Linked DNA regions of Kluyveromyces lactis. The protein of the gene in region 1 interacts with the protein of each later gene in a pairwise test. Links are inferred from orthologs where the notes say so. Each region holds a gene or a part of one and is shown in the gene's direction. Other genes may lie near its edges. The genes, in order: KLLA0_F20900g and RIM1.

Evidence for each region.
Region 2: the proteins of KLLA0_F20900g (region 1) and RIM1 interact in a protein complementation assay, tested with the Saccharomyces cerevisiae proteins (2 studies listed by BioGRID). The link is inferred for Kluyveromyces lactis from reciprocal best matches to the Saccharomyces cerevisiae genes FMP45 and RIM1.

What each region holds. Positions count from the first base shown.
Region 1 is NC_006042.1:1,943,210-1,959,307, reverse strand, and holds KLLA0_F20900g (SUR7/PalI family protein), read left to right. Parts: upstream 1-8,827; coding exon 8,828-9,640; downstream 9,641-16,098. Other genes in the region: CHS1 (chitin synthase I), read right to left, coding at 1-2,439; KLLA0_F20944g (uncharacterized protein), read right to left, coding at 2,937-4,361; telomere-binding protein CDC13, read left to right, coding at 4,798-7,521; KLLA0_F20878g (uncharacterized protein), read left to right, coding at 10,487-11,929; KLLA0_F20856g (uncharacterized protein), read left to right, coding at 12,507-13,265; KLLA0_F20834g (uncharacterized protein), read left to right, coding at 15,442-16,098. UniProt on the Saccharomyces cerevisiae protein: Involved in sporulation and affects the sphingolipid composition of the plasma membrane.
Region 2 is NC_006037.1:551,533-567,230, forward strand, and holds RIM1 (Rim1p), read left to right. Parts: upstream 1-13,894; coding exon 13,895-14,287; downstream 14,288-15,698. Other genes in the region: SMT1 (Smt1p), read left to right, coding at 1-216; transcription factor TFIIE subunit TFA2, read left to right, coding at 906-1,766; DNA-directed RNA polymerase I subunit RPA34, read right to left, coding at 1,871-2,455; rRNA-processing protein LAS1, read right to left, coding at 3,748-5,118; OAF3 (Oaf3p), read left to right, coding at 5,836-7,809; SCF ubiquitin ligase complex subunit DAS1, read right to left, coding at 7,864-9,462; PAM17 (Pam17p), read right to left, coding at 10,608-11,198; SYP1 (Syp1p), read left to right, coding at 11,615-12,535; KLLA0_A06127g (uncharacterized protein), read right to left, coding at 12,556-13,065; chromatin DNA-binding EKC/KEOPS complex subunit GON7, read left to right, coding at 14,644-15,003; and 1 more. UniProt on the Saccharomyces cerevisiae protein: This protein binds preferentially and cooperatively to single-stranded DNA (ssDNS). Involved in mitochondrial DNA replication. Stimulates PIF1 helicase activity.

The sequences.
Region 1 (16,098 bases):
AATCGAACTTAACAGGTAAAGCGCATAAGTTGACCCTATGGAAATCACCAAATCCCTGAATGTTTCTTTCGTAATTAATCCTTTGAAAGTAGTCGTTCCTGAATCGATCAGATTTTGAATAGAATAAACACTCATGTAAATGGAACATGCCAGCATATACACCATCAAAACAGCAAAGAAAATAAATGTACTCAAATAGAATAAAGGTGTTCCTTTCGGTTTGTTACCAAGCGATAGGATGAATGTCACCAACACTGATAGCCCGTATAACCATAGGAATAACACTGAAAATACTCTGAAAACCTTATAATCTGGGAATGAAATGGCTATCGATAGCGTTAATATTCTGAATACAAGGAAAAATGAACTTAGCGAAAACCATGAAACTAAGGTCGTCACGAACAAGTAAGTAAACTCAAACATTAAGATTATTTTCCTCAGTATAGTGTGCCCAGATGTGAAAATTTTGTAGAAATGAATAAATGAATATAACGCAGCAAAAAATGACCCGTTTAACCAACGTCTTCTCTGGAGGATGAATTCTGGAATCTTTTCTGGCACATCAGTTGCACCGTATGACCCACGGCAATATCTTAAGACCCAGTTGCTATCACGTTTGGTGACGATTTCGAAACATAAAATACGATCTTCGGCCAAGTACATATTCGAGATGAAAACGGTACCATTAAGGTCGTCACCTAAGAAATACTTTCGCATCGGTTCACCTTTTAATGCCTCGAATCTATAGGCAGAAAAAGCACCTGGTAGGACAGATATAAACCCAAAGTTAGATTCTGTCGTTTTATCCAAAATGTTAGACATTTTATATTCAAAGTTTTGCGATGCAATCAAGGGATTTAATAGTTTAGTATATCCAGATCCTAAATCAGCTTTGATTTCACCGCATGCGCCACCCACTTGGGGATCCTTAAACTCTCTCCATAGCTGATAAATAGAATCCTTTCCGGGCATTGTACCAGCATCCAAGAGAATTATGACATTCGGGTTTAGTGTTTCTGCAAAGGCCTCAAATGCCCAACGGTGAGAATTAATCTTCTTCTGATTCTTCTCTTTCAAACAGAAAAGCATTTGCACAGGTATGGTGCTATCGCCATATCCTAACTCGACATTCGTAGATGACACAGAGGTGATATTGACTTTAGTTGTATGTTCATAGACATGAGTGACGACTTTCTTGTCATTGATAGCCTCTTTCGCAAAACCATCTTGATAGCAACCTAATGCACTCATTAACGCGAGAGAACGTTCATTAATTTTTGATCTACCATCACTAACCACACAAACACAAATCTTCTTCCATGCATCTGGGCCCCAAACAGAGGAGTTTGAACGTTTTGTAAAATGTCTTATGTTATCCATAACACCTTTCAAAGTTTTGCCGAGTAAAATATCATCTTCATTGTACATTGTAATTACGATCATAAGCTCTGTTCTTCTTGGGTACGGATACATCAACTGACGTAAATTGAACGTATTACTTTGAAACTGGTTTGGTTCACAGGTAACAGCTTGATATCTCATGAACTTAAATTCATTAGACAATTTTTCTGGACCAGCTCCTGCAGAATATTGAGACAACAATTGGCTACTGATTGGACAATCGAAGATGAAATTTCCCTGACATAATTTGAACTTTCTAACTACCGTTGGCTTTCTTTGAATGGCGGGAGACTTTCTCTCTCCCAAGTCAGCACCGTCCTCATCTGATTCATATTTCAATTCACCAAGCCTATCAAGTGTCGCCACGTCATTCCCATAACTTCCGAAAGAACTGCTTCCGTCTTCGTCGTCGTAATTACTAACATAATCGTTGATATCCCACTCCGACGGTTCACCACGCTGGCCAGCTTCGAATGGATCCACCATATCACCTTTACTGTTTAAATAAGTGTTGATCTGATAATCATCACCGTTTTGATCCACGTATATAGGATTTTCGATATCATCCTGTTGCTGGTAATTGTATAACTGATGAGGTTGTTCCAAGATTGGCCTTGTATCTTGATTCGCATAATAATCGGTCGCGGAGTTAATACTAGGTGCTTGCTCATTCTGATACGAATTTCTACCGTAATACTGATTATCATTAAAATCTGCTTGCACATATGGAGTTTGCCCAGGATACGCCGGATCAAATGTATTCGCTATAGGACTTGACGCATCCACTTGAATATTTGGCACCTGGTATTGGGACATATCACCAGGCTGGCGATATTCACCCATTTCCGGATAATGGTTCACAAACCCATTATACTGCTCATCTGTTCCGGCAGCAGTTCTGTACCTATGATTTTCATCGTTTCTGTCGTCTTCAGATGGCTCATACATCTGATAACTATTTTCTTGAGCTTGGTGAGATGCCCTATGTTCATCACCGTCGAATCGGTAATAACCTTGGCCGTTATAATTGTAGCTCATTTTTATATATTGAACCTGCCGGTTTCACAACCCTTGATAATCCTACTGAACGTTTACCCCAACCTATCCTCAAACCTTATTCACCTAAGCCTCCTGTTTGTATCATCCACGTCTCAGATCAAATTCCAATATGTCAATACAAAAAGTTTCCCTGGTTTTATGTACTATGAAAACAGGAAAACGTTCAGATTTCGATATCATTTCCTGAAACAGTAGTTTCTTAAAATAAATACATCGAAAAGCCTTGAAACGGTCATGTGAAGAGTACAAAAAGATACAAGACAGTACGCAACTCAACGGCAGAGGGCCCAGGGGTCCCAGATGCAAGAATGTTTGTCGGGTGATAGTGTGGCGGATATATACGAAACTGTGGACCCTTTCTCCAAGGTTTATAGGCGTATATGATATAATTGATGCTATATATCAAGTGTTGGCTACAAGTGTATTCGCTACTTGCCGTCTATATACCACGACAGTGTTGGGAATTAAGTTCTGCCCTAAGGAATACAGAGAGCTCGATATGAAGGTTGATCATCTAAGTCCTCTGGTATTTTTCTAGTCCGTGGAGACTCTATGATGTCTAACCTTATGGAAGCTTGTCCATAGATGTAGTTTCTTTTCAACTTGTCAGTGATGTATTCACTGAAGCCGCAAGACCTATGGGCGATGGATTTCGCATTCACTAACAGGGTCTTTGCATTCTGTTGTAATAATTCGATGGTCTTAACAATATCCTCTTCCGGGTGCGATTGTCCCTGCAGCTGGTTCAATTCCGTTTGCTTTAGTAGACACCTGGAAAGCTCATTATCCGCTCTGTTGATCATGACATCGCATAAACTGAAAACGATTGGGCTTAACTCGTTGTCTTTGTTCTTGGTTTTACCACTAATAATGTTGGATTGTCTTTCGGCAAGTATCGTTTGTAATTTACCCAATGTCCTTGATAGATACGTTCGAATTTGCCAACTGTTCTCAGTGGAGAAAGTATTTATTGCCATATCTAAAAGCTCAACATTGCTCATCATCGAATCTTCATCAGTCGTTCCCAAGGTATCTAGAAACATGTGAAGATCTCCTTGATACAAAAGTTTCAGACTTTCAATTGACCTTTTCGCTATCACTAATTCCTGGACGTCAGATTGGCCTATTTTTAGAGTTACTACCATATCATCCAATTGGTTGATGAACTTTACCAACAATTCTTCCAAGTAGTTCTTCTGTGCAACATTGATTATCTTACCGGGAGCAGTATTCTCGGATTCAAGCTGATTTGCCATTATCTCATATACAAATTTGTAGCCTAGAGTAACAGTGTCAACGACAGTTTCCTTGTCAAAAGTTTCAGTAGATAGGGCCAACCCGTAATCCTCGTTCTCAGCACCTCTGGTCTTGATGCCAGTACCGGTGCGAAGATCTACTTGAGATTGTTCAGCTAAATTATCTGGTCGATAAGAACTAACATCGTCCTCCTCTTCCTGTTCGTTCAAATTTGCCATATCTACACTCTCCAATAGCTCATTCTCTAATCTCATGATGTGATGGAAATGCGAAATGAACCCTGTTACAATGTTGATTAGAGTCTCGCCTGGGATATTAGTCTGAGATTCCACATAGGTAGAATACGATATTAATAGGTTGAATAGCAAATCCCATCCAACTTCCTCTGGGAAACTCTCTACAACAGTTTCAAACCTTTTGATAATAGCGTCAATGGTCACCAGTAAGGTTTCTACGGAATCAATTCCATCTAAATTAACATATTGAAGCAGGTTGATATAACCATCGACGTTCACATAATCAGTATAGATTTTAAGCAACAGTCTAGTTTGGTTATAATGGATATTGTATGTGTCATCGTTATTAGGTTTCTCAGAAATCAAGGCTCTATCATAAGCTCGCATTGCCTCCAGATATCCCTTCATAGTCTTCTTTATATCGGAAAGAAACCAACGTTCTGCGCCATCTTCGATCTTTACTGCTTCGTTGTACCACTCGTCCTGCGTCACTAGAACTTTAGGCTCTGCGAACCCTTTCTTTCTTGATCTAAAATTCCCTACAGTTGATTATATCATTTGGCTAAATGTTAGTAAATAATGTATTGTTAAATTTTCGATAAACATTCAATTATCATACTTTTCCTTTCACCTATTGCCATTTCAATTCGGTGCTTTGGCTCTCTTGTGGTTGCTCGCAGCCGTTGGCGCTGTTTTATCTGGGAACCATCTCTATATTAATTCCATGTTGAGATATGATTTTTATGAGCGCATCCAATGAATTAAACGGTGCATTGAAGGTTGAAGAAAAACGTTAGAAACAACTTCAGTTAAAGAAAGGAAAAGGTAATGGAGTGCGAGCACCATGGAAAAGTACCCATATGAGTATATTCCTGGTCCTGAATGCTTGAACAAATACTATCAGCATGGATCAATTGTATCGAAGCCCGTGCACTTTATATCAATTCTCAGTAAAGTAGCATATACTAAAAACGATAAATGCCTGTTCCATTTCGATAACTTCACCAATGGTAAAGCTGGATTGAACACTTACTGTGGGAAGATAAAAAATAAAAGCTTTGAATGCGATGTATTACTCCGAATGGTTCTTTCTTCGTTATTCGAGAAGTTGGGCATGCAAATAGCCGGTTTGGACTATTCATCTGATTTCGTGTTAGAAGAATTAGAGAAGCGCTACATGGGAATGATAAGCGTGAAAGGGTTGTTTATCACTGCTTATGATAAAGCATCTCTACAGATTCATGAACTGAAACTTTTGGATTTAAAATCCTACTTTGACCAATCCACTGCAGATGAATATAAGCTACTCAAGCCTTCGATCGAAAAGCTGTTTAGAAACCTATTGAAAAGAGAAAAACGAAACGCTGATTTTCAATTCAAGAGCCTGACTAGTTACTGTACTGAAATGCAGTCGTACCTCGATTCTTTGGTTCTACAAGAAGCACCCCCCACCAGGTTACTTCCGAAAGAAAATACAGCTATCGTGAATCCGTTGTTCCAGTTGGGTTTACAAAGAGAGGTGAATAACGACAGTTTCAATGAATTTGATTCCCAAACCCAACAGCATAATATAGATACATTACCTCTTCAATCAATTAGTTCCAATCCTGATGGAGAAGCAGATCAAGTCGCGAAAGAATCCACTAAAACTGCCATCGAAAGTGATACGCCTCAATTCAGTTCTTTAGAACAGAATCCTTGCAATGATTCCATAATACAAAGCGCAAAAGAACAAAAGAGGCCAATAGGGAGCAACAAAGGTATGTCAACTTCTGATTTTATTTCAAGTGGGACTGTAAAAAAAATTAAACTTACAGATCTGGGCGCCTTGACCCATCATCGGCAAGTAACCAGGCAGGACCTGGATATTTCTTCATATCAATTACCATATGATCCTATTATCTCATCTCAGTCTCAGTTTGAGCAACCACGAACAATACAAGAAGAAGGGTCTGATCCGTTTGATTTAAAACCTGACTCGATCTCCAAAGCAATAACTGATAGGCTCTATCATATCTCTGATGGTAAAATTCTCGGATTTATACCGAATCAATATCTTGATCCTGAATCTTCGCTTATAGAAGATGATTTTCTTCTAATTTATGTTTATACATATGAACTACCTCTCCTTTCAGCAGTTTTTGTACCGGAGTACAATTGTTACGAGATAGCCATCACCAACGTTGCTAAATTTTTCAGTAAGATCGGGGTTCGTTCCTACCCACACTCAATAAAGAACTCGCTGCTTGAATTGAAGGAACTGATAGACAATAATCGATACGACATAACCATTTACAAGAAGGAATTTACTATTGGAGCAGCAAAATCAAGTAAATGGGCTCTCAAGGACGTGGTCCTCAGATCTGCTCTTCCTACTCCAAAGGAAGTCACCTTCACAGAGAACAAGTTTCCACTAGTACGTGTCTCCAACATTGTTCCTTCAGCGAGTTCGAGGTACTACACAGTTATTGGACTTGCGGTCACCGTGAAATATACAGGAGGTAAAACGCTAGTTCTGTCTTTTACAGATTTTACGGCTAACCCCAAAGTCAACTATGGGTACGATTCCTTTTTGGGTAGTTTCCAGGAAAGAATACCAGAGAATGAGCACGTTCATGCATTGATATATCTAAATCGGGTGGAATCATTAAACGAAAAACTCCAATCAATAATCAAGATGGGTTTAATGGAATGTGCAGATAAAGGCAACAGTAATATTACCCATCGAAGTATCATATTCAAATTCACTGTTAAATGTCAATTATTTCAAGGTAAGCTAAACACTGTTATACTTGACGCCGATCCCATTACTCCTACCACGCCAGTTACCACTGAGGAATACAAGTTATTGAAGCCTCTAAGAAATAAAATATTTAAACGGATGCCATCAGAGGTCATACAACTGTACACGTTAACCATGAGTCGCTTCTTGCCAATATCCAAGAATAGAATGTCTGAGAATCCGCAACTGCTACAGGAACAAGCTTTCTATGACTCTGCCGGTTCCTCAGAAGACCCAAAAGACGATTCAATTGCCAAGCTTGAGAACCAATTGAAGAGGGAAGGTGTTGACAAAATAGAAGAAGACGCTGCTACTCGTCCCATTGAGCTATTTGGTACCCGAAATCCTAAAACTGTTGACATTATTGATATTAAGAATAACGTGCAAATGGATCACAAAGACATCAAAGTTACTGCTAAAATTTTAAGTATTTTCGACAATGGTAACAATGTGACTATATACCTTACTCGTAGTGGCATGGTCGGTACTCAATGTACAATTGAAAACCCTTTCGAAGAACTTCTTAAGGTGCAAATCTGGGGGAGACAGAACTTGACACTTTTCTTCGGGAATCCAAATTATAGTTATAAGAGGGAAGAACTGACCGCCTGCATCGGTTCTATTGTGGACTTCACATTGATACCTAGAGTTCTGCGCGTCAATGAGTATTTATACATCAAAATATGGTGTCCTATTTATGCAACATTGGAGAGCTTACTGATTCACAGCAGATTGGAGTATGATAACGACACACTCAAATACGAAAACCTCTCCGATATTGATTAAGAACTAGGCGTATTTTGAAGTTGATTTCATTACATGAAGAAAGCTTGTCACCGTCATTATACTGGCGTCGCTAGCGGAGGTAGCATTTGTATAATTTTTTAATATAAAATAGAATACTCGTATAATTATGCGTAATAATTTAGAAAGTAACCAACTCACACATAATGCTGATAATCAGATAAGAAGGATACTTCATTTTTTAATATCACTTCTGAGTGCGTTTGACCAAATAACTCTCTATTAATCATAAGTGATGTAATTCAAGCTTTGGCCAACGAAATTCTCTAAGGAAACGTGCAACAAGAAAATCGTAACATATGCATGGCCATTTAGTGTCTTCTCGAAGCTGAGGGAATACGTTATAACACCTCTAAGATCGGGAAACCACAGAGTTGGATTCGAATGCCATAAATATACATGATTTCTAGCCGAAGGAACATTAGTGATTATATAATCATAAATCGCTAAGCAAGGATACGTTTTGTTATCCTTCGGAGATAATCATACAATTCAGAGTATTCAACGTCCAAATGCAAGAGGTCTGAGAAATAGAAATGGCGTTTTGAGCAAGGCAATTATTATCCAACGGAGAACAACTGACAGAATAATCAAAAAAAAGGCTTCAAGTGTCCATTTTGTTTCCTGTAACGAATGGGCACACTATTGAACTGTGAATATTGACTGCGGTTTCTAATTCTCGACAAGTCTCTCATCCAAATGCCTCCAGTTGCCACTCACTGTCTCGTGCAGGATATCTCTACTGAGTGTTTGCTATCACTGCCTTTCTCGACATGGATTATATAAGCCATTTGACACTTATTCTCCGGAGCAAACTTTGGAAAAAGGAAAATGCCGACAGTCGAAAAGAAAACAGAGAAGAAACTCAGTACCTAAATAATTAGGGGAGGTAAGCATTTGAAGAGAAACATCCTGCAGAAGAAACTTTATTGCTCTGAATGACCGCTCAAAGTAGGGCAAAAAGGGTTTCTAAAGGGTGTGTGGCAGTAGGCATTTATGTTTGCTCTTTTCGGCGTCTTGTTTTTGCTTCCGTTAAAGAATAAGGTATACAATTTAAATCTACCGATATTAATTTAAGGGGTTGACTTTGTTATAAAAAGACATCAAGATTAAAGAGTTGACCGTCCAAGTTGAGTTGTAACCTTTTACCTTTTGAGCTAATTTTGGATGAAAGGATTTTTTAATTCTGTTAATTGTTTTGGTGTGATTTTGTTTCTCTCAGTTTGTTCTTCTTCTCCATAATCAAAGCTAAAATAATAACCATATAATACTAATTTTTAATAATATCATGAAGTTCAAAGGGTTCGTTTCTTCGTTATCGTTGCTTTTCTTATTGGGTTCTGGTTTGTTGACGTTTTTTGTTATATTGTCTGGTGCTAGGACTACTGGTGTATTGGACAAATTCTATTGGTTTGAGGCTGACACCAGTGGGTTACCTGGTGCTCCAGATACTACAAGATGGTTCAATTACCATTGGTGTGCTTATGAGAATGGTGAAATCGGAAGTTGTTCAGGCAAACAAGCGGACTTACCATTTTCCCCTAGAGACAATTTTGGAAACAGTCCTGATCTTCCAGCATCATTTAGAGATAATCGTAATACCTACTATTATTTAAGTCGTGTTGGTTGGGCAATGTTGTTGATTGGTTTATTCTTCGTGGTACTCGCATTGATTCCTGTGTTGCTATCCTTTTTCAAGGTTGGTGTCGGTGCGGTATTGTCTACTGTTTCTATTTGGCTGGCTTTATTTTTCATCACATTGGCAGCCTGTTTGTACACAGCTTGTTACGTGAAAGGTCGTAACACTTTCCGTGATGCCGGTCGTTCAGCATCGATGAACACCAAGATGTTCGCATTTTTATGGACCTCAGTGTTCTTATTATTATTAAGTTCGTTCTGGTCAATAATTTTGAGTGTCACAATTGGTGTTCAGAAAGTCAAAGGAGCAAACACTTATCAACCGTATGAGGGTACTAGCTCTCATGATGATAGTTACAACGTCGACAAGCACACATATGAAAGCGGTGTCAATGACAACAACCGTCAAAATATCAAATGGTGGAAACTTCGCTACAAGAAGAAAGACACCGTTGCTGTTTAATTGTAGTCAAAAGTAGTCAAATCAAAATTAATTAAACATAACGACTCGAATCTCAATAAAAAAACGCCATTCACTAGAAAACAACATTTTTTCTCCCGTTTGATACCCATCTGAAACCAATACTAACACATATTAATAATTATTTCCAATTTTCTTTTAATTAGCGTCTACAACAACATTGTTAACAAGGTTAAAAATCTCGAAGGTCATGAAGAGGAATCCAACGATCCTTCCAGAAAGGATTACCAGTCTTCATCAGCTAATCAAGGGAACTTGAACAATTCTCACCAACAAACCACAACTACCTCTGGGACCCAAGCTTACCCTCATGATAATCACTGGCAAACATCTAGAAACCAAGCAGAGCCTGGAACCAACATTGGCCAAAACTACAATGAAAGTTTCCCAAGTGACAGTGATAAGAAAAATTACGGTCTGAGCTATCCATCTTATGGCAATGAAGGCACATTCGATGATCATCCACCTGGGGTCAAAGCACCATCTCATGCCAGAAACTTGAACGACTCGAATGGGCATCATGGGTCGGTACTTGGAGGTAATGAGCCCTTATCCTCGCACCATCCTGGCAGAAACGCTCAACAACAAGAATATGTTAATGTTGGTTCCTCGGATACGCCAGTTCATACCAACGATAGCAAGAGCTATGCAACTACTAAAAATATTGGCGAACCATTGAAATCGGGGAATGGCCAAGAGTTAGCCGGTTCTAGCAAATATGCCGCTAAAGATACCGAGAAGACAGACATTTATGACAGAGATACTCGCCCTCAAAGTGAAGACTCCGGGAAGCACAGAAGAAAGAGTTCTTTCAACAAACATGCTATAATGGCTACCTTAGGTCTAGGTGGAAAGTCCGACTCTGACAAATCTAAGAAGCAACAAGAGGAGTCAAATTCTCCAACTAAGCACACAGTCAATGATTCTGATTTGGGGAAAGAACACGTGTCCAAACACCAATCACAATCTCAAACTCATCGTGATAATGTTCAAGACAAGTATGATTACGGTAACTTCAAGGATAAGGAGGCCAAAGATGCTAGAACTAGGGTTGCGGCAGCTTCAGTACCTGCGAACACTCATTCAAGTGAATCGCAACAATCGACTGCCAAGCATACCCTAAAGTCTGCTACCTCTGAAACGCAGTACAATAGATCTGTCCCTCAAAAATCAATGCCTTCCAAGGGAATAAATGATGCGACAAGTGAACCATTGGTTGGTAATGACTATGCGTTGAAGCAAAGCTCCAATGCTGTAGCAACCGACACTGGAATTTCAAGGAATACTGGTAGTAACACGACTAAAGAGCAGAAGTTCTCTGCTATCGATGCTACTGATAGTCAAAACGATGGCTCTTACGGCGGGTCTTCCGGCCAACAAAATCAATTCCATAACACATCACAGTACGTTAATCCTAACCAATTTGACACCAATGTGTTCGAGAAGAAAAACGAAAAACCAATCACTGGCGATAGCTCTCATAAAAATGCTCAAAAACACACTTCCCAAGACATGCAGGGAACTTACGTTGACAACAATTACGTTTCTAGTAGGGCTTATGAAGGAACTTCTCATACCTTAGATCCTAACGTGAAGCACGACGGAAATGCTGCACATGATGAAAACACTGCTGACTCAGGTCTTTGGAGTTCTGTGATGGGTGCTGTCGGTTTGCGTAAAACTTCTTCGCAATCCCAAAAAACTGGTTCAGATCCTCAGAATGAGTATGGTTTGGAGCAGGACATGGGGAATACTCATATTTCTGATACCAGAGGAGGAGCATCCAACAAATCTAATAATGGTGAGATTAAAGGGACCGTGAAATCGAAAGGTATTCCAGCACTTGCTGAGAAGAATTCTATCCCGCCTACGATGGGTGCTGCTCTAACAGCAGAAGACCTTAAGAAAAAATCCGGTAATGTTGGTGACAGTCATGATAACCAGATTCCAGGCACTTTTTCCTCTGAATACGGTGGAAATTCGAAAAGCTTGGTAGATCCCGATAAGAACACTTACTCCACGGAGAATGCATACACATCCTCAGACAACAATAGACATACAAGAAATGTGTCAGTTGATGAACAAGGAAACACAGATCGTCCCACTTCCGAAGCAAAGTCGCATGGTTTATCGCAACATGAAGAAGGATATCAATACGATACCAAAAGTGGTGTTCCAAGATCTGTGCAACAAAAGGAGACTCACACCACTGACGAGAATGGAAACGTTGTCAACAAGATCTCAAACACTATCAAATCAACCTTACATTGAGATCTCCTCACTGGTAATGACGTAGAATGCGTTGCTATCTTTATGAATGAGCCTTAATAAAACACCTACTTTTTTACAATTTTTAATGCAGGAATTATTTCCCTCCAGCTTTTCTCCACAACAATTATCACTCTCTTTGGTCGTAATCACATCAGGTTCATCAGTTTTCAGTTCGGCGATTGATGCTGACTCTATAAGTTAGTTCTTACTAATTTGCGATAAAACTGCAACCTATCAGTATTCAGCATTAGCAATTAACTCATCCTGTACAGTCATTTTTTTGTCGACATATTTTATGTATAGCTTTCTCAATAATAATATGATATCACAGTTTTCTAATTCGTCATATCAAAAGTTCCAAGCCGTATTGAATAACGGAGAATACGCTATCTACACGTTCCTTTGATTTGATGTTTCATTTCTTTACAATGGAATATCACAATTTTTTATATTGTTTCATATAAAATGAACAAGAAATGAAAATACAACGTCAAGAAGCTACAAACAACAGGGAGGAGCACATTCTTGACATGAACAGCATATACCTATATTTCTAAACGGCGAGAAGAAGGTTACAATGGCAAAAAAAAGGACAAGTAAGATTAAAGCAGGAATCAAAGCTTCAATAGAGGTGAAAGAGGAGAACTTTAAGGAAAAGGCGACTTCAGCGGCTAAAAATAAAAAGTTGTCAAACTCCCCCAAAAAAGATAAACCAAAGACCATACTTCCAATCGAAACTAAAGTTGAAGCATCTGCCTCAGATGAAAACATAATTTGGCGAGAGCTACATTTCAACAAAGATATTTCGTCAAGGGAAACACTAGACTCGGCGTTTGTTTTCAAAGATGCAATTAAGTCTCCTCGAAGCAGTATTTGTGACATGCAGTTAAACGCAATGTTTGAGACACCAACAGAGCATAACGGTAGCGTAATGCATGCCAGTTTGACTAATAAGGGCGTAAGGAAAGATAGTCTTGTCTCTCCAATGTCACGGAGACCAAGCAGGATGTCAAGTTTTACATCTTATAGTAGCGTTGACAATGGATATCAAATTAATTACTCTCCAATAACGATACCGGAGTCTACAGCGGAAAGCAAGAAAGACAAGATTGGTCTCTTCGAAGTATGCGATAATCGTGCGAAAGTTGATGCAAAAATCTCCGAAGCTTTGAAATTCTGTCAGGATCTAACTAGTTCGAGGGAAATTGAAGCATGTAACACAAATGGCAGATGGAGTTACATACCACAATGCTGCTTAGATAAACCAGAAAAAAAAGACCACTACCCGAGAGAGAATCTAAAAGAGATTAGAGAATTGGCAGAAACACTGAGATGAAATAAAAAGAGCCTACACAACTCTTTTGTTCCTCTTCATTTGAACTTTCAACTAACTTCTTATTGACGGGGAGTTCTCTATAGCCGAAATTCATTCCATCCTTGACTGCGGTCCTGCTTCTCATTATTACGCCAATCCACTTCGTTATGGACGGGAATTCAATACCGCAGATCACGCGATGTAATCACACAATACGAATCATTACCCTACCTAAATCATCAAGGGTTCCAACGGCCACTGTGGCGAGAAACGAATTAGACTCTGCAGAACCCTCCCCCCGGTTTCATGTTTGAAACGGACTTTTTCACAATATGGCAACCGAACTTTCTTAGGCTGTGCAATGCGACTAAAAGGATTCCGTACTCGTACATCTTGAGAGAGCTTATAAGACAATGACTACAAAATTCGAGACGGCCAAGAGTCTTATTTCCGCAAAGAATCGAATCATCGGGACGCTTGTCTTGAATATATCTTTCGGTTCAGCCAAGCTTTCTAAGAATGTATTTACGGATGTAGTATAGCTACTTGTTCTCCTTCCTCCCCTCCATATTTTTGCCACGTATTGAAATGTTTGAAAATAATAACAGTCAAAAACGACAACCTTAAAGTATTGAAGTATACTATCACGTGTGAATCATCGTGGTGAGTGCTTTCCCCCATTTTTGTCTGTAATTATCACACTGACTAGTTACGCGTTCCACGAGTAAACCGACGTGCATGTGCTTCAACAGCGACACAATACAGACAATCTCATTAAAAAAGTAACTAAACTAAATTAATCAGTCGCTTTGGCATTCGTAGAGAATATAAGTCCCGCCCAAGAGAATCGTAGTTGGATAAAATATATAGTTTTGGTCAAACAGGTAGAAAGCGCAGCGACCAAAGGGATCGCGCAAAAAAGATTTTGGCAAGCACAGAGGAGAAACGACTGAGCTAAAGTGTTACTCACGAAGATCATTTTCTACTTTACCCGCATCTCTTCCCACTTTCATTATCTTAATGGTTATCAAAATACTTAATGAATTACCAGCATCGTGAGACAAATGAATTTAAAAAAAAATGATTGTCTAAAAAGTTGGAAAGGGAAAACGAGAAAAAGGAAAAAAAAAGGAAAAAAGAACGAAAGAACTTAGTGAAATCAACTTTCACACTTGCTGCTTACACAAACATAGCTGCAAACACCGGTCACCGTTGAAGCTCATCAGTTATTTGTTGTTTATATTTCCGTATACTTACTATCACCGACACGAGCAAACTCGAGCAGAGTGACAGAGACACCAATTCAGAGCATCGACTTACAGGGCACTAAAGTCGCTGAATTAGAGAAAAACAGGAAAAATAACAGCATTACGAAATAGCGTGTTCCGACAGAAAACTGTCTTTACAAGGATTTTTTGGCGACAGTGTAACAGGAAGAAACGAAAGGCCATTAATTGACCAAGATCAATCAATTCTAGAGGCCTAAGTCCAAAAAACTCATTGAGCGTAAGATTTCATTTCTGTTTTCTTTGTTATACCTATTTTATCATTTCGTTTCCTTTTCTTAAAATTCATCTTTGTTTTTTTTGGTTTTTGGAAACATACTATTTTCTTGGAAATAACCCATCTCGATCGATATCTTTTAAAGGAATTTTTTTTTTGATAAAAAAAAATTAATTACTTCCTAAAGAACAAAAGGGTTACATAAAACTTTCAAGAAACAAAAGAGAAGAGGGAAAAGAAGGAAAAAAGTCTCATTCTTCTTGTGAATCATAGGAGTACAGTCCTGTTTCAGAACATTATCAATTGTATTTTGTAACAGTGAGATAGGAGTTGCGTACTTCACTCGTTCACGTACCTGGAGAATAGCAGTTTATTCTTCTATTTTCTGCTTCCCATCCTTTTGTGATTGGTTAAAAAAACAGTGAACTCATCCACCAATATTCTAACCTTAGAGAAGAACTCCAGTCGATAGAGAGACACCACACAGTTCAACAATTATTCAGCATTTTGTCGAAAGCAAAACATTGTTTTCTTTGGTGATTATTCTGTTCTGCTATTTAATTGAGTTTCTTGAGCGTTTGACAAAAAGTGAATCTTCGCTCTTCATCTCATTTATCGTCTTTTTTTGGCATTAGTGTTACTTTAGTGCACATTTCCACACATTGATCATTCTTACGACGAGGCCATCATTCATATGCCAATAAGCAATATCAACTCAAATCCAAACTCCAATAACATCAACGAAAACCCCATGATGATCCATCCTTCCTTCGATACAACTTATCAGCTGCATCGTGGATTCAGTACTAGCTCTGAACAGTTATCAGCAGTTAATCCCAGCAACGCATCGCCAACACATGCAAATGGTTCGACAATACCTCGCCACCACTCGGACCACAGTGGTTCACCACTAAACCTCTCATCGGTACTGAACACATTATCCATTAACACTGGAAATCAACCACAAACCCCATCCATTGGTAGTTATCTATTGATATTGCGCAATATTCCTACCGACATAAACTTGAGGGAGGCTTATGCCCTTTTCTCATTGGCTCATGGTGTACTATCCATTGATGTGATACCTCATGAAGATAACCAACCGTACGTGGTGGCAAAATTTGAATCTCAGCATTTGGCATGCCAATATGCCTCTATTCTTAATATCAAATCCCAAATATTCGGTCCAGCATATCCATTCAAGGTGGCGGTGGAGGTCATCGACGAATTAACTAATCAACAGCTGTTTTTCCAGACAAACTCACCTCAGTTGCAGCCACAACTGAACACAAACTCATTTCAAATACCATCATCCGGAAGCGTATCCTCAAACGTTGCTCCAACGTTGACA
Region 2 (15,698 bases), on another chromosome or scaffold:
TCTTTCATGAACAAAGTAAGCCATTGCAATAAAGAATCAGAGCATTCCATCAATATTAATGAGTATAAATTCCTCAAATACATGGAAGAAACGTTGGAAGATTGTCTCAATATCGCTGGACTCGACGATTTCTTCTATGATTCCTGCAGGAGGATCCTATGCTCGGTGAGAAAGACTTACACCGAAGAATCTCAACTAAGTCTACGGTTGATTTAGTATCATTTCATTTCCAGTTTATATAAATTTCATTAGCATTTGTTTAATCGGTATACGGATACCTCAATAAACATACATTATATCGCTTCACAAGATTTCTATTGCCGTGACTACTTTTTCCTATTTGAATAGAGATGTGCCATTCCTCAGGTCATCACTATTTCATGGATCTCTTGACCGCGAATGAATTCGCAGAAGAAACCTCTAACAGCGATGGTTTTAAAGTTGGCTTAAAATGTTTTATCTTTCATAAAGAATCAATTATGATAGACGCTGCAGACCAGAAGAATCAGTATGAAGAATAGTGAACGTCAATTCAATTATATTTTCCAGATGCAATGGTGAAAAACTAGAAGGAAACGAGTCCAGCTAAAGCCATCACATCTTGACTACTCAAACCAATCCGAGGTTCCACAGCGCCCTTGGTATATTATGAAAGAATAAAACGACCAGAATAACACAAAGTTAAACGGTCAGCTTATCGTAAAGTGAGAAGTTGTTCTCTTAGGTCAAATTTTTTTTCGAAAACCTTTTTATACGTTTGAAGCATGAAAAGCTTTTGAAAAATTGGAAGCTTTGAAATATAAAAGAAGGTTGCAATGAATCAAACGTATTACTAACTTTCACTAAAGATATATAAAACTGTGTGGCGACAAGTGGTTTGAACAGTATCAGAAGGTGTGGGTAATATGAGCAACGATTTACTGGCCAATTTAAATGCGTTCAAGAACAAGGTGAAGACTTCTCCAGCGCTCACTACAAGGAAAGTTTTAGCTAATAAAGATAGAGATGGACAAACGAATGGGAACGGTAAATCTACGGAAGTGATAGAAGTGGATGATCCAAATTCCGATGAGAAGGATATGCCTCTGAAGAAAAGGGCCAAGAGTAGTAGCGTCGCTCCAACGGGCCAGTTGGATAGTACACATCTTTCCACGAAGATGCTTATAGCCACAGAATATATCCAAGAAAGAGGGGAAGCAGTACCGGTAGATCAAATCGAATCATATCTTTCGTTACCTAAGGATAATAATGTGATTCCGATGTTAAAGGGGTTACAAAAATTCAAGTTTGACCCAAAGAGGAACACTTTACAGTACGTATCCATTTACGATGTGCATTCTGCGGAGGAATTGCTACAACTATTAAGATCACAGGCGACGTTCAAGGGTATATCATGTAAAGAGTTAAAAGATGGTTGGCCACAATGTTTTGATACAATCGACGAGTTAGAAGCAAAGAACAGAATCCTTGTTCTTCGGACAAAGAAGGATAATTCTCCAAGGTTTGTCTGGTATAACCATGCTGGTCCATCAAGGCAAATCGATGAAGAGTTCGTTACGATGTGGGAAGCTTGTAAGCTACCTCAGCGTAGTGAATTACCAAGAAAACTACAAGATTTGGGTCTCAAGCCTGCTAGTGTGGATCCTGCTACGATCAAGAATGAGCAAACCACAAGGAAAGAGGTCAAGAAACGTAGATCAAGAAAGGGTAAAGTTACCAATACACATATGGCTGGTATATTGAGAGATTATTCCGATAGGGTATGAAGATACCTACTTTTTATAATGAACGTATTCTACATATAACCCAAATTAAAATATGACCAGTGCGTTATATATAAATAATATACAGAAAGACCAGAACGAGTGCTCTAGTCGTGCTTTCTCTTTTTTTTGCTAACTTTCTTCAAATCTTTATCCTCGTAATACCCAGTTGCGAAATGTCTAGTCTTGAGACCCTTAACCTTCAACACATCCTTTCTATCCACTCTTACCTTAGAATAATCAATGCTTGGAATCTTTGCAGTTTCGCTTATGGTAAAGATCTTATCAAATGATCTTGATGCAGATGAATCGACGGTCAACTTTGTCTTATCTACAGGAGTCAATAATGTCAATTCAGAAGAAGAAGATGCACCAGAAGTGGAATTTTCTTGTTGGATTTCCTCCTTCACAGAGAAATGTTTACCTTTTTGTTCGATGCCAGTTTCCGACTCCGCTGTGAAATCAATAGGTAATTTCGAAAGCTTAGAGACATCTAAAGATTTAGGAAGTTTGATAAGCCAAAGTTCTTTTTGCTTCAAGTTCTTAGGCTTCACGAATGATTTCAAATGTGTACATTTCTTATAGTTTTCAGGTGGAACGAAAACGTCCGTTACAGTTTCTGATGATCCATCATTATCGCTGTCGCTATCACTGATGTATTCCTTTGAAAGAGTTTTGTCGACCTTGGCCATTGTTTGAGATATTTCTTATAACGTTTTGCGAGTGGAATAATATTACAGGGAAGGGTGTAACAAAAACTCACCTGAACTAGTTAAACTGTAATTGGAACCCTAGGACCACACAGAACCTCACTTATCTGCCTCTGTGTGTCTATTTGAATCTGCAATGAGATGAGATGAGCTTAAACCGAATTTTTTCATCTTGGGAAAGACTTTTCTTTCTTTTTAGACGTTACCCGGGAAAATGCACGTGGTTAACACGTGGAACAAACTATCGTATTCATGAAATCTGTTCCAGTTCATCACAAACCATCGAGAAATGGTATGTCCGACTTGAACAGCCTTCGAGCAACATTTATTGGATCACTAATACTATGATTCCCGTTGAATGGTATGACATCGATGCCCTAAGTACTTGGTTTACTGTATTATCATGTCGAACGACGCAATTATTCCAAAAATTTTTTCCATGCTTCTTCGACACGAAGAATATAAAAAGGCTGGTAATGAGAAACAAACTAGACATGTTAAACTCATCAAACCATTTATCCAGGTTAGGTATTGAAAAGTTCTGTAGGTTGTTCTCTAGCCTCACTTGCTGTTGGCAAGTGAGCTTTATAGTATCCTTGATGGAGCAGTGTTTCACAGCCGTGAAACACTGATTCGTCTATGTTACGCTTGGAAAAGAGACCTTTTCCATGAAGAAATAAACGTAAAAGTTTGCATATACGTGGGATTCATTATTACTTCATACCTTACGAAAGAACTTCAAAACATTTAACGATGATGAAAACGGTCTACACTTCTTTCCCAGTCCGATATCGACCATGACGATATGGGAGTCTACCATGTTGTTGTCTTACGGGGCAACGACTTTTTAAGCCAGTACATGCTTTGACATGTACAATTTAGATCATCTGAGTTTTCTCTTTTTAGTTTTCTTAAGGTCAAAGTAACAGTGAAACAAGATCCATCGTCGTATCTTCTGTTGCATTTATTTCTTCAAAACGTTTCACTTCTTCTTTTTAGCTAAGAACATGATTGTGCGTTATGGATTTTAACATTTTTTTATATGATGAAAATTGGTTCCTTTACATTCGCAGTTTCCACGGTAGGAGTACGCCTACGAACCCATCGTTAGTACTCTTCAGTGACCGCTCTTTATTGAGACCTTCCTAGGATGTCTGATCTTTTTATATGTTATTATCCATTTCCATTTTCAATCCTGTTATCATCGCAGAACCTGTAGAACTGTCAATCTTTCTTGCTTTGTCTTATGTATCTAAAAGGCTTAATTATACTAATTACAAAACGCCAAATGGTCTAGGCGTCCACTCGGTGACTTCTTGCCAGTTGGAGATGGGGGCATTGCTTTGTTTGATCTTTTTGAACTGATTTTTCAATTCATTCAAGTCTTTCAATATATCCAAGGCCGGGGAATCTTCCGAAACAGGCTCTATTTCTTCAGAAGACGTCCTTTTCCTTGAATTGTAGAGCTCTAATTCAACGTTCCTGATCCCCTTTGCCTCAAATTCTTCAATAACTTTTTTCGCGTCTATCTCATTCGCTTTCTTCTTCTTTCTTGACTTACTACCGCTGTAATTACCACTAGATCCACTTTCATTACTCAAATTCTTTAAGATGTGTAACACGAGATAGTTGTGGTACTTATCTACCACATTACTAAACAATCCATTACTCAAAAACTTTCTGCCGTTAACCATGGAACAACACTTATTTACGAATTTCAAGAGCTTCTTATGATTTGAGAACCGATCCGTAATCTTCGTCTCTTCATTCATGATCCTCTTCTCGTAGTTTTCTATTAGCCACTCTATACACCTGACTTGGAATGTGTCTAAGGAATGAAAACATATCTCTAACAAGGTTTCGTCGCAGTGCAAGATCATATACTCTACGAAATCTGATTTGTGTATTTGTTTCCAGGCAGTTTTCAAAACTGTCAACCAATCACTAACTTCTTCGTCCTCGGTTGAGTCCTGCTCACCAAAAGTTGATCTAGCAATTCTTTGACGTTTCCATAGGTACTCATTCTCTTTCAATAATCTCTTGAGACCAGTATACTGAGTGAATAAGGATTTCAGTTGAACAGATGACTGTGATTTCCTTTTCTTGGCTTCTGAGTCGTCATTATCATCAGTCGCATCCTCATCTTCAGCCTCATCAAAGTCCTGATCTTCCTCTTCCCATTCATCATTATTCCAATAATTATCCCACGTCCATTGTATCGCTTCCTTGCAACACAATCGTAGCATCTCAAGACTAGGCAGTTCTCTTTCATGTGTACTCAAATGACGTAACTCAACGAACCAACTGGGCAACCCTATATTTTCAGCAAGTGTGTGTAATGGGATAGCAAACTGTGCCTGTTGCACTGGGTCTAACATACCGTTCACAAACCTAATCAAGACCATGCAGTACTGCCATTTCAAATATTCCATATCATCGCCGTCTTGCGCCTCGCCAGGGTCGTTCAACTGGCATTGCATCAAACGGACCGTATATTCTATTATATGTGGGAGATATGGACCCCTGGTAAGGTATGCGTCAATTCGTTGTATGGCCCTTCTCTTCGATGCTGGAGTATCATCTACAAACAACCATTGCTTCAACTGTTCAAGCTCAGATCTCGATCTCCAAGGCGTTATTCTCATCGGGAGTTCCTCGTAGGGTTGTGTACCAAATGAAAGAAACAGAAATCACGAAAAACTGCTAGAAACAACAATTGTAGATATATATACCAGATTAGATGTGATATTAAGTCATATCATCTCACCTCATCTCATCGCTCTGTTTCCGAGTATGCATGGATCTTGTTTTTTCATCGAAATTGAAAAATTTCGAATATGACGAAATGATATCCAAAGCCCACTTTCAATACAGAGGAAGCAAATGAAATATTATCAATGTCATCGTATATTAGATGGATATTGGTAGTATGTAAGCGTCGGGAGATTCGAATAACGTAGTACACTTAACGTACTTTAACATGCAAGAATAATTTTCAGTAAATATCATTATGTAGTACTTCTTAAATGACAATCCGTTTTAGGTGTCAAATTCTTAATTAAGTATAATCTCGAAATAAAACTGCCGGAATCACAAATGGTCTTCTTTCATGAAGAAACAATTTCGTGTATGGCCTCCGAAAGGACAAGTAAACTTCGAATTGGATATCAATTGTAGCGAAGACTGCTAAACTGCTTTTCACACGCCGATTAAATCGAATACACGCCGGTCTGGTAATACTTTTTGTTTCAGGAACGGTCTGAACGTTTGTAATACAGAATCAACCGACACGCCTTCAGACGCTAAACACTACAAGTGCAGTAAAACGAAAGTCAGGGAGTGAATTGCACACAAATCGTCTTATGGTTTACGAAATGCTATCTCCGGTACCAGTTAAGAAGAGACATAGACCTACACTTGTATGTTTGAATTGCAGGCGTCGTAAGACGAAATGTGATAGAGGAAAGCCCTCGTGCAGTAACTGTTTAAAGCTGGGAGAAACGTGTGTTTACTCCGAGGATACGGATGAGAATGCTTCTAAAAAAGTAAGATACGAATATATGGATGATCTTGGATTACCGGAGTTCATCAATATGGCTCCTAAAGGGCTACATCTGTTAAGCAAAAGATCAGCTTCGTGGTTCAATGGGTTGTTCTCAGACATCGCTATATGTGACAGAGATCCATATTTAAGAATAACAAACGCTGTCATTGATATTTTACGGAAAAGTGCCAGTAAAGGTATCGATCGTAGTGAAAGAGACACCGTCTTGCAGCTTCCTAATTCGTTAAAGACCGTAACCATGTACAACCGGTCAGAAAAGTCTGAAGATCAACTATACCATCAGATAGCTAGGGAGTTCTCAGCATTGCGGTCTGCCCCAATACCGGAGACATATGTACCGTATGAATACGAATTTTGGTCCAAATATTATCCATACTTCGTTGACAAGATTCATCCGTTGGTGCCTGTATTCAATCTTATTGAGTTGAAGGATCTACTAGAAAAGTTTTTTCAACGCCAAAAAGACCATCCGGGCAAATTGAACGACAAGGTACACGAGTCTACTCTTTTAATGCTAACGTACCTCATCATCAATTTTTTCCTCCTCGAATTCGATTCTCATAATAGGTTGATTCAGGACCATATTAATATTATTAAAAAATGGTTAGTACAATCTAAATGGTTCCAAAAGACAACTCTACTCCAGTTAAGGGTATGGCTAGTCTTGAGATTCCATAACTGGTGTACTTACCACGATAACGACGGCAATCGTATGAATGCCAACGACGGATTAATGGGGTTAATTATGGGCCATTGCGCATCACTTGGAATTACATGGCAATTATGGACGAATGTCGATAGTGATGAGTGTAAAAATATCTGGATAAACGCTTTACATTGGGATAGGAAGTTAGCAGTGTTGAATGGAAATGACACGTTTAATGGAAGGACAATGAGGGTACCAGAACTCCCTAATGATCATTTAGTTCTTAAATTCTTAAAATGTTGTGTTGATGATCCTACACACGTGAATTATAAACTCGCTATTGAAATATTAAACAAGTTAAACTTTGAAGAGCAGAACCCCATGGTTACCTGGGAATGGAAAGTTATTGTTGCTGTGACAAAGTTACAAATCAACCATGGACGCTTGAATCATATTAACGAAGGGATCTCGGCCGTTATCGCATCATTAGAAGATTTAATTACTCTATGGAATGAGCATTTCATTAGACCATTAGCGCCTGTGTCTTATTCCAGTAGAATCATAGAGATATCAATGAATAAAGCCCTAGTTCTCTTGCCAGCAATAATACTAAGAGCTCGTAACCCCTGCAAACAAAAAATCCTACAGTTAATGGATAAAATATTGACAACGTACTTTAATGAATTCCCATACTATTATCATGTATTCAAAAGATTGTTCAAATATAAACTAACTTTAAATTTGATCAATAGAGAGGATTCATTAGATCATATGTTGACGATTCTAAAACATGAGAATCATCAAGTTCTAGAAAAATTGGGTATAACCAGTAAAGACGCAGAAATGTCAGACGACGATGTAATAAAAGTCTGGAATGCCAGATTCAGTTTCACTGAAAAAGTAGTTAATTTGAAAGTTGAAATGATGTGTAAAAACTACGAACCAAATCTCTTCTCATCAAGTTATCAGCACGCTCTTGAAAAATTAGAAGAGAGGCATTCGGCCAAGGCAGATGCAATAGATGTCACTCAATTTTTGCAACAAGTCTTTGACTCAACAGATTTTGACCTCTTTTATGGGATGGATGTAGGTGAACTCCCCAAGATGGACAGCATTCTTCCATAATTTTTTTGGGCTTGGTACTTTCCCTCTTGTTCCTTGTATAGAAAAGTACAATATTTAACAATTTCCCATATTCGATTTGTAACCATTATTAAAGAAAACTGGAACAGGAACACGGGCACCTTCTCTCTCGAGAACGATACAAGGTACGTCGTTCAAAACCAAATATCGTAATCTTTTCAAATTTGAGAGTATAGTTGTATATGTCTTTTTATTGTGATGAACCATTGCATGATAGCACTTGATGACGTCAGATTCTGTGATGGGTTCAATCGGGGTTGAGTTTCTATGCATGGATTTATAGTGCCTATTGTATTCATTAATCTTGGTGACGAAGTCCGAGAGATTCATTGGTTGTGTCCTAACAGAAGGGTATATGTCAAATGCTTTTGAATAAGGTAATAAAGAGAGGTATTTCATCATTGTGAATATATCCTTAGCGATCAAATCGCTTAAATCTCTGATCACCATATCTTTCGACGAATTGAAAAATTTACCGTATAGTATATCCTGAAACACATGATTACAATCATCACAATGGCAGTTATGTAAGAATTTGAACCTTGACCCCTCGATAGAAATGATCTGCCTGTCGATATTTTCGAATCTCAAATCTAGGAATTGTAGCTCTCTACAATTTAATAAAATGGACAGGAATACATCCGTTGAAACAGGATGTGGAGTGAACTCATGCAAAAAATCTGTCTTCAACCTTTTCAAATTCTTCAAACGTTTGAAAAGTTCGATGAGTATGGCTGGATTTTGTCTCATAGATATAAGAGATAAATCCCGAATTTCTGTAAACTCGTAAAATTCAGTCAAAATTTCCAATTCTCGTTTATTCAAATTCTCATTCCATGATATGATTGTTAACACCTTTAAAGTTCTCACATCGAAGACATCTGAAAGTTTAGTAAGCTTCGGGTATTGGTTCAGCGGTTTCAATTGATCGGGCGGATAATATTCTTTCCTCCAATGTAGTTTCAAGTCATGGATTTGCAATTTAAATTGCAATGGGTATATGCAATTGAACAACTGGATGGGATCCATGAAAAGAGTCATGTGTGACAAGTTAGAAGAAATCCGTTGCTTTAAATATTGAGCTAAATTAGGCAAATACGTTCTGGAAACTTCTCCCTCGGGCATGGAATTAGGTGGGGCACTATCGAAACTGGTGACATTATGACGCGATTGGATTCCATTTGCAATAATATCGTTACAATCCGGGTCCGTAACGTTTTCCAATCGTATAATGGATTTAGAGTACGTACATAGCAACCTTAAAACTTCTGCCTGCTTCTCTTTATCCAAATCCCAATTAATCCGTATCCATTGAATGGAATTCAACCTTTCACTGTTCCTAGATAAAGTGCGTATAAGAAGATCAAGTTTCGCATTAGCCAACCCACGAGACCAGCACTCTGCCTCGTTTGGGGGCATGTACAAGTATGTCCAGTTGATAGCGAGGTTGACTATATCACTCTCTACTACATTCGAATCGTTCAAATAAATTCTCCGATACAAAATCGGCAGTGCTAGTTTTGAAACCCGTTTATTCACCAAACATAGGTTCAATCTATCTCGCTGCGGTACATGAGTAATGACTTCAGCTAAAAGCTCGTCTGGAAGTGATTCCAGTGGGAATGTATCAATCATGGATAATAAGTAATCAAAAGAGCAATTTGTACGGCGTCTTTAAACAGCAATCTCTCCTCTTAGTAACATAAAGCTCCTCTAATATACAGCATACAGCCATCAAGAGTGAAAGAAGTTTAGTGTTTTTGATGGTAGAAGCCGGCAATAAGAATCGAATGACTGGGCTATTGTATTCAAGCATAAGGTAGGCATGTTAAAGGGTAATGAATTCCTGGCAAAGAACGAACGGAAGTGAAGTTTCGAATTCCAAGAAATTGAAATCAAAGTCACGTGAGTAGAAATGAAGATCACATTGTACGGAAATCCGTTATGCGTTCCTTTCCTCAATCAAACCCGCGACATCAATGAAAAGAACAGACAGAACAGCCGGGTACCTTGAAGAAGAACTTCCAGAGAGCCATTTTATGGTATATAACTGGGGTAAATAGACCCATATTCAACCGGTAGATTATCGAAGAAACCCAGTTAACCCAGTTAATAAAGGGGCTACACTGCGCTGGAATATAATAAATTGAAATGAAGAACTACTCCCAATTTAGTTGAACTACTAACAGTATAAGAACTGGGTGTGTGGCCGAGTGGTTAAGGCGCCTGCTTCAGGGACAAGAAATGAGCATGCGGACTCAATGCGGCATCAAAACCGTCTCCGTCGCTTTCCAATTGACACATTCTGCTTTACCTTTGGGGGGGCCAAGAAAATTGCGATAGCCGTTTCCTTAAACCTTTAAACAGAGGTTTTCTACGCAGTTTTGTGCGAGTTGTAAGGGGCCTGGTCCGAAAATCAAAAATTTGTGGGTCCTCCAGAAAATCTTCACTGATTGCTTGGCGGCTATTGGGTGCGGGTAGAGCAGAAGTGGATTGCGAGTGACGGACACGGTTACCCGGAATATGCAGGTCTGTTAATGTTAACAGGCGCGAGTTCGAACCTCGCCGCATCCAAATATACTTTTTTTTGTTGGGTATCGATCCTTTTCATTCCGGTTTCTCTGGCATATACCATTACGCAATTGCTAATGCTGATTTAACGAATGTTTCTTTAGATATCAACCACTATTTATTATTTACTATTTACTTGTACTTACGGAAAGGCGTTTCCTTGGGTGGGAGAGTGATAGTCATCATACTTTTTCTGGTATTTTTCCGCTTCACAAGAACTCACTAGCCTTTCTTTTGTAAGAATGACAATCTCTTAGCCATTGTCTGTACTGTGGTATCGAATTAATCTTTTCACCGTAGTAATCCGGCACAGGGTTACTGAAAGATTGTGATTGAGGATTGACTCTGTTCTTTTGGATTTTGGCCAAAAATGAAAGTTGCTTCTCTTGAAACTGTAATAATTTGGGACCGGAAGTGGCCTTAAACAATGCAGTACCCACAATTGGTCCCAATAACCAACCAACAGCAGCACATGTGATCATACCAGCAGTAATTGCCATTAGTGGATCGAATCCAAAGATTGTTTGAGTTGGATCGATTTCCAAAGTGGAGAAGTAAAACCACGAACCGTTAACGAATACTATGGCTGTCGCAACCGAAGAAGCCGTGTTGAAAACACGTTCTTTTTTACGTAGCTTGAAGAATTCTGGCCATGTCATTTCATGAGAAGCTGTCTTACCAGCATTAGTGCTATTCATTCTGATGGCAACGGCATTGCGTGTAACGGCTCTTTTCAAAAGAGATTGTCCATTTAGTCCAACCAAAAGACGGTTCTGTAGATTGATTCCTAGTCTCAACATAGTTTGGGCTATTTTTCCGTGGTATTTGGTTCTTATTGCCTCTGATATCCGAGTATACTACTTATCGAGTAACACAGCAGAAGAATTGGCTGTTTGATGCTAGTTCAAACAGGTGATCTGGATCCACCCCTCGAACATTCCTTATTGAAATCATGTTATAAGCTCATTTGGTAGCTTTCCAAACTTTTTTTTGGAATTGACAAGCTTCAATATCCACGTCCGGGTAATGAAAGTACCGCTTTTTCCAATCTCTTGATCAAATGGTGTTATATCTCGAATAGATCTTCATTTGATACAGATATATGTTACGTCCGTTCATCATTGCATGATACTTTCACTATTCTAAAGCTGTCTATTATAGTTATAGGTTATATTGTTTGCCTTGCACGTCTCAAAAAGTAAGTCTTTCTGTTATAATGTCTGATGTTCTAGCTTTTGCAGAAATAGTGCAGGGCTATATTCAATCGCTAGAAGAACTCAAAGAGACAAAATTCGATAGTAATAGTGAATTGTTCTCTGAAGTGTCCCAGGAACTTGTCAGATCCAAGGAATTACTGCTACAGTTACAGGAGAGGGAGAATATACTGAAATTGAGAGAATCAGGACCAGATTCAGAGTCACCACCATTACCAGAGATTAATGGTGATATAGTAGAGACTTTGTCATGTGTTATCACAGACGATAATATAACGAACGTATCACTTGTTGGCGAAGTTGCCATCAATGGTACCAAGTGGGATCAAAGAACGAGTGATTTGTATATGAAATTCAATAATGTTAGTTCCGTTAAGATTAACGACACATTCCTGGAGCCAGTGGATGTGGTTCAGAATATATACAAATTGAAACGTGAACGCGAATGGGACAACGTGGTTACAGGATTAGTGAAATATGCAGTGACAAATTTACCACAGGTTCAATGTCCGATTCTAGTGACACCCGTATGGCAGTTCAAAGAGGCCGAGATCATCTCAATGATCAATTTAAGACCTTTAATTCCTGTCAATTATACACTATTGAAAGTTTGTATAAAGATAGGCACCAAGGCCCAAGATATTTTATCTAAACCTACTGGATTTTATAACCAAGTGGATGGTACCATCCAATGGGATCTGCCCATGCTGGAACAGGATCAGATTCTGATTTTGAGATATAAAGGTGGACAACGAACCGATGTTGTCACATCTCAAGCAATTGGGCCACCGCATGTTCGTATAGATTTTACCGCATCACAGCTGTTGACACAGGTTAACGTGGAATACGGATATTCACCAACCAGATTAACGGACCTGCCGTTAAACGTAATGACTATTTCTGGGAACTATAAGGCCCAGTGATTGTCAAGCGTTATCTTTACTCAGACTATAACCCTTGGCAATCTGTACTTTTCGTTTCTGGACGATTTAAAAGAGATCTCAGACGATGAGGAAGATGTCGAGACAGATGACACAGGAGACACGGATTTCCTGGGTAGCAGCGGTAACATTTCCGCGACAAAATCGTGAACCCATCTCAACTGGTATTCCGTCAAACAAGAGAGTTTCTCCGAAAGGTACGGCACCACTAGACAAACGGCATCCGAACTATTAGAGCTATAATCTTGGTAGTAATCGTCATCAACAGAAGCAATATCGGGAGTTTGCATTCGTACCACTGCATTCGTGCTCATCCAGCGTTCGATCCTTCTAGTGGGGTCCTCCTGTTCCATTTCATCGTCGTCGCTACTAGAACTCAATACCAATGGGTCATTCACCACATGGTACTCGCCAATATCTAAATCAAGCCACGCTTCTTCGGATAATATATCATCACTTCTGGCGCTGGTGCGAACCACACGTTTGCTGAACCTTCTAACACCAAATGACATCTGGAAATGCTCTCAACCTGTTAAACCACCAAATAACCTTTATAAGACCGGTTCTGGTCTATATATTATTGATTTGAATTTGTACTTGAACTTAAACTGCGTTAAATAATATCGTTATCACACACTCCACAATTTACCAGTAATAGACCCACAGAGATTGTTCCTGTGAACGTACTCGTTTATATATCAGTACTCAGAATATCTAGAGTAAACCACGGGTTAGAATGAACGCACTCAAGTCAATCTGTAACGAAGATAGTCAAGTTTGTTATTTGAGTCAGGCATAGATACCAGGCCTTTAAAAGAACGAGATGACAGGGGAAAGACAAAGCCAACGAGGGGCATTTCATGTTGGAAACATTGACTCAAAACCGGGTAATGACAATAGAATACAAGGCACGTGATTATCACATGCTTCAATTACCCGGATAACAATGGTGATAACTCGAAGAGTTTCTTACTGGTAAAGACGCGATAAACGTAAATACCAGCAAATGCACTCGTTTCATGACAGCATAAACATTACAATATACGCCTCTGATATCTAATTTGTCACAAGAGAAACTAGAATCTCCATTTGCAATGCGAAACATTGCCACGGTTTCTCTTTTCCCGCATCTGCATGTTCTTTCTTATTGTAAATGTGCCATTTCTTACTCTCCGTTCATATACATTTTTGTTTATAAAGACATTTGATATAATTCGGTTTTATAAATTACCTTAACAAATATCAAGACTGAATTAGTATGAGAAGAATACGTGTGAAAATACAGTTATACTTCCCAGCCCAGTGATAAATTATCATTATCATTAAACAATTAAACACCCAATGTTCAGATTAGCCCAACGCCGTGCCTTTTCGGCCACTGCCCGCACCAATGATTTTGCCAAGATGTCCATTATCGGCCGTATTGGTAGCGAATACCAAGAGTTTACTACTGCTAACGATACTCGTTACTTGAAATACTCCATTGCTTCTCAGCCAAGAAAGGACAGCAACACAAACTGGTTCAATGTCACTGTTTTCAACACTAACCACATCAATTTCATGACACAATACGTCAAGAAAGGTGCTTTGGTTTACATCGAAGCTGATGCTTCTAACTATACTTTCGAAAGAGAAGATGGTTCCAGGGGCCAAAGTTTGAGTTTGGTTCAAAGGGATATCAACTTGTTGAAGAACCCAAAGGCACCTGAAACTGAAGAAGAACAACAAGCTTAAGAATGCTGTGATCTGTTAACCAATTCGTGTTGTTTTCTCTCGGCTGCTAATAATGTATTATTCCACATGGAGTATTTTTTTGACTACCTCTATATACTCTCTCTGTCTCTTAGTAATTACGTATAAATACTGTTTTTATCTAATAAGTTCTATCAAGGACATCTCGAATCTCACTCCCAGCCTTTACTTCTACTAGTATGCCTTTTTTTTTCCCCCATTGTGTCACAGGACATGTTCTGATGAATAGCATTTCTTATTTATCATATTGTCAAGATTTCTAATGTTAAATCATCATCTCATCTCATCAACAAGGTATTAAAAAGATAAAAAAGGGTATCGAACACAAGGATCAACCAATGTCTTTACCACACGCTACATATACCGGACCCAAATCAACTCATGAATTCGAAGTCGATCCTTCTGACCCCAGGTACCAGACTACGGAGGGAAGAACTACTGGTGCTTCAGATTATGTATTGAAACAAGGGCATCAAGACGTCGATAAACCTAGTGACCCAAAGAAGGTTGATAACGTCAATAGTAAGACAGGAATCGATCAATATACCACGCTTTCGCAACTGCGGATGCAATTGACCGGATTACAAGACGATATCAATGAGTATTTGACTGAGAAGATCAATCACGTGAAAAAACCTCGTAACAGCAAGCAAGAACAAGAGATAAACGATCTATTGGATGGTTCTGAAGAAACCTGAAGATTCTGCAGATCGAGAGCTTCGAATTCTGTCGTTTGAGTGTTGAATGGTATTTATACGTACTTATTATCTGTTTGTATATAAATAGTGTCATCAAATTGTACTATATCGTTCCGGTTTTTTGATCATCTTAAAGTTGGTGAGTCAACAGATTGTGACATCTCTTCAGAGAGAAATAGGTACTGGTATACACCGCCAAGAGTCCTAGAAGGACAGCTGAATAACATCAAAGTGTAATCACGCCATGGGCAAGCTATTTCGGGTCGATTTGACCGTTCTTTCTTTTGTCTGCTTGCAATATTGGATCAACTATGTGGATAGAATCGGTTTCACCAATGCTTATGTTTCCGGTATGAAAGAGGATCTCGGGTTCAAGTCAAATCAGTTCAATATCGCTAATACGTGTTTCACCGTTGGATATTTGTTAGGTATGATCCCTCATAATTTGATTCTATTGAGAATCAAACCTCGGATTTGGTTGAGTTTCTGCACTTTTGCTTGGGGTATTCTGACATTGTCAATGTTCAGCATTGATTCCGTATGGCAGTGCTATGTGATTCGTTTCTTTCAAGCTTGGTTTGAAAGTTGTACTTTCAGTGGTACCCATTTGATTCTTGGGTCCTGGTATACTCCCTCCCAACTACCGATTAGAACCGCTATCTTCACATCCAGCGGGCTTTTGGGTGCTATGACAA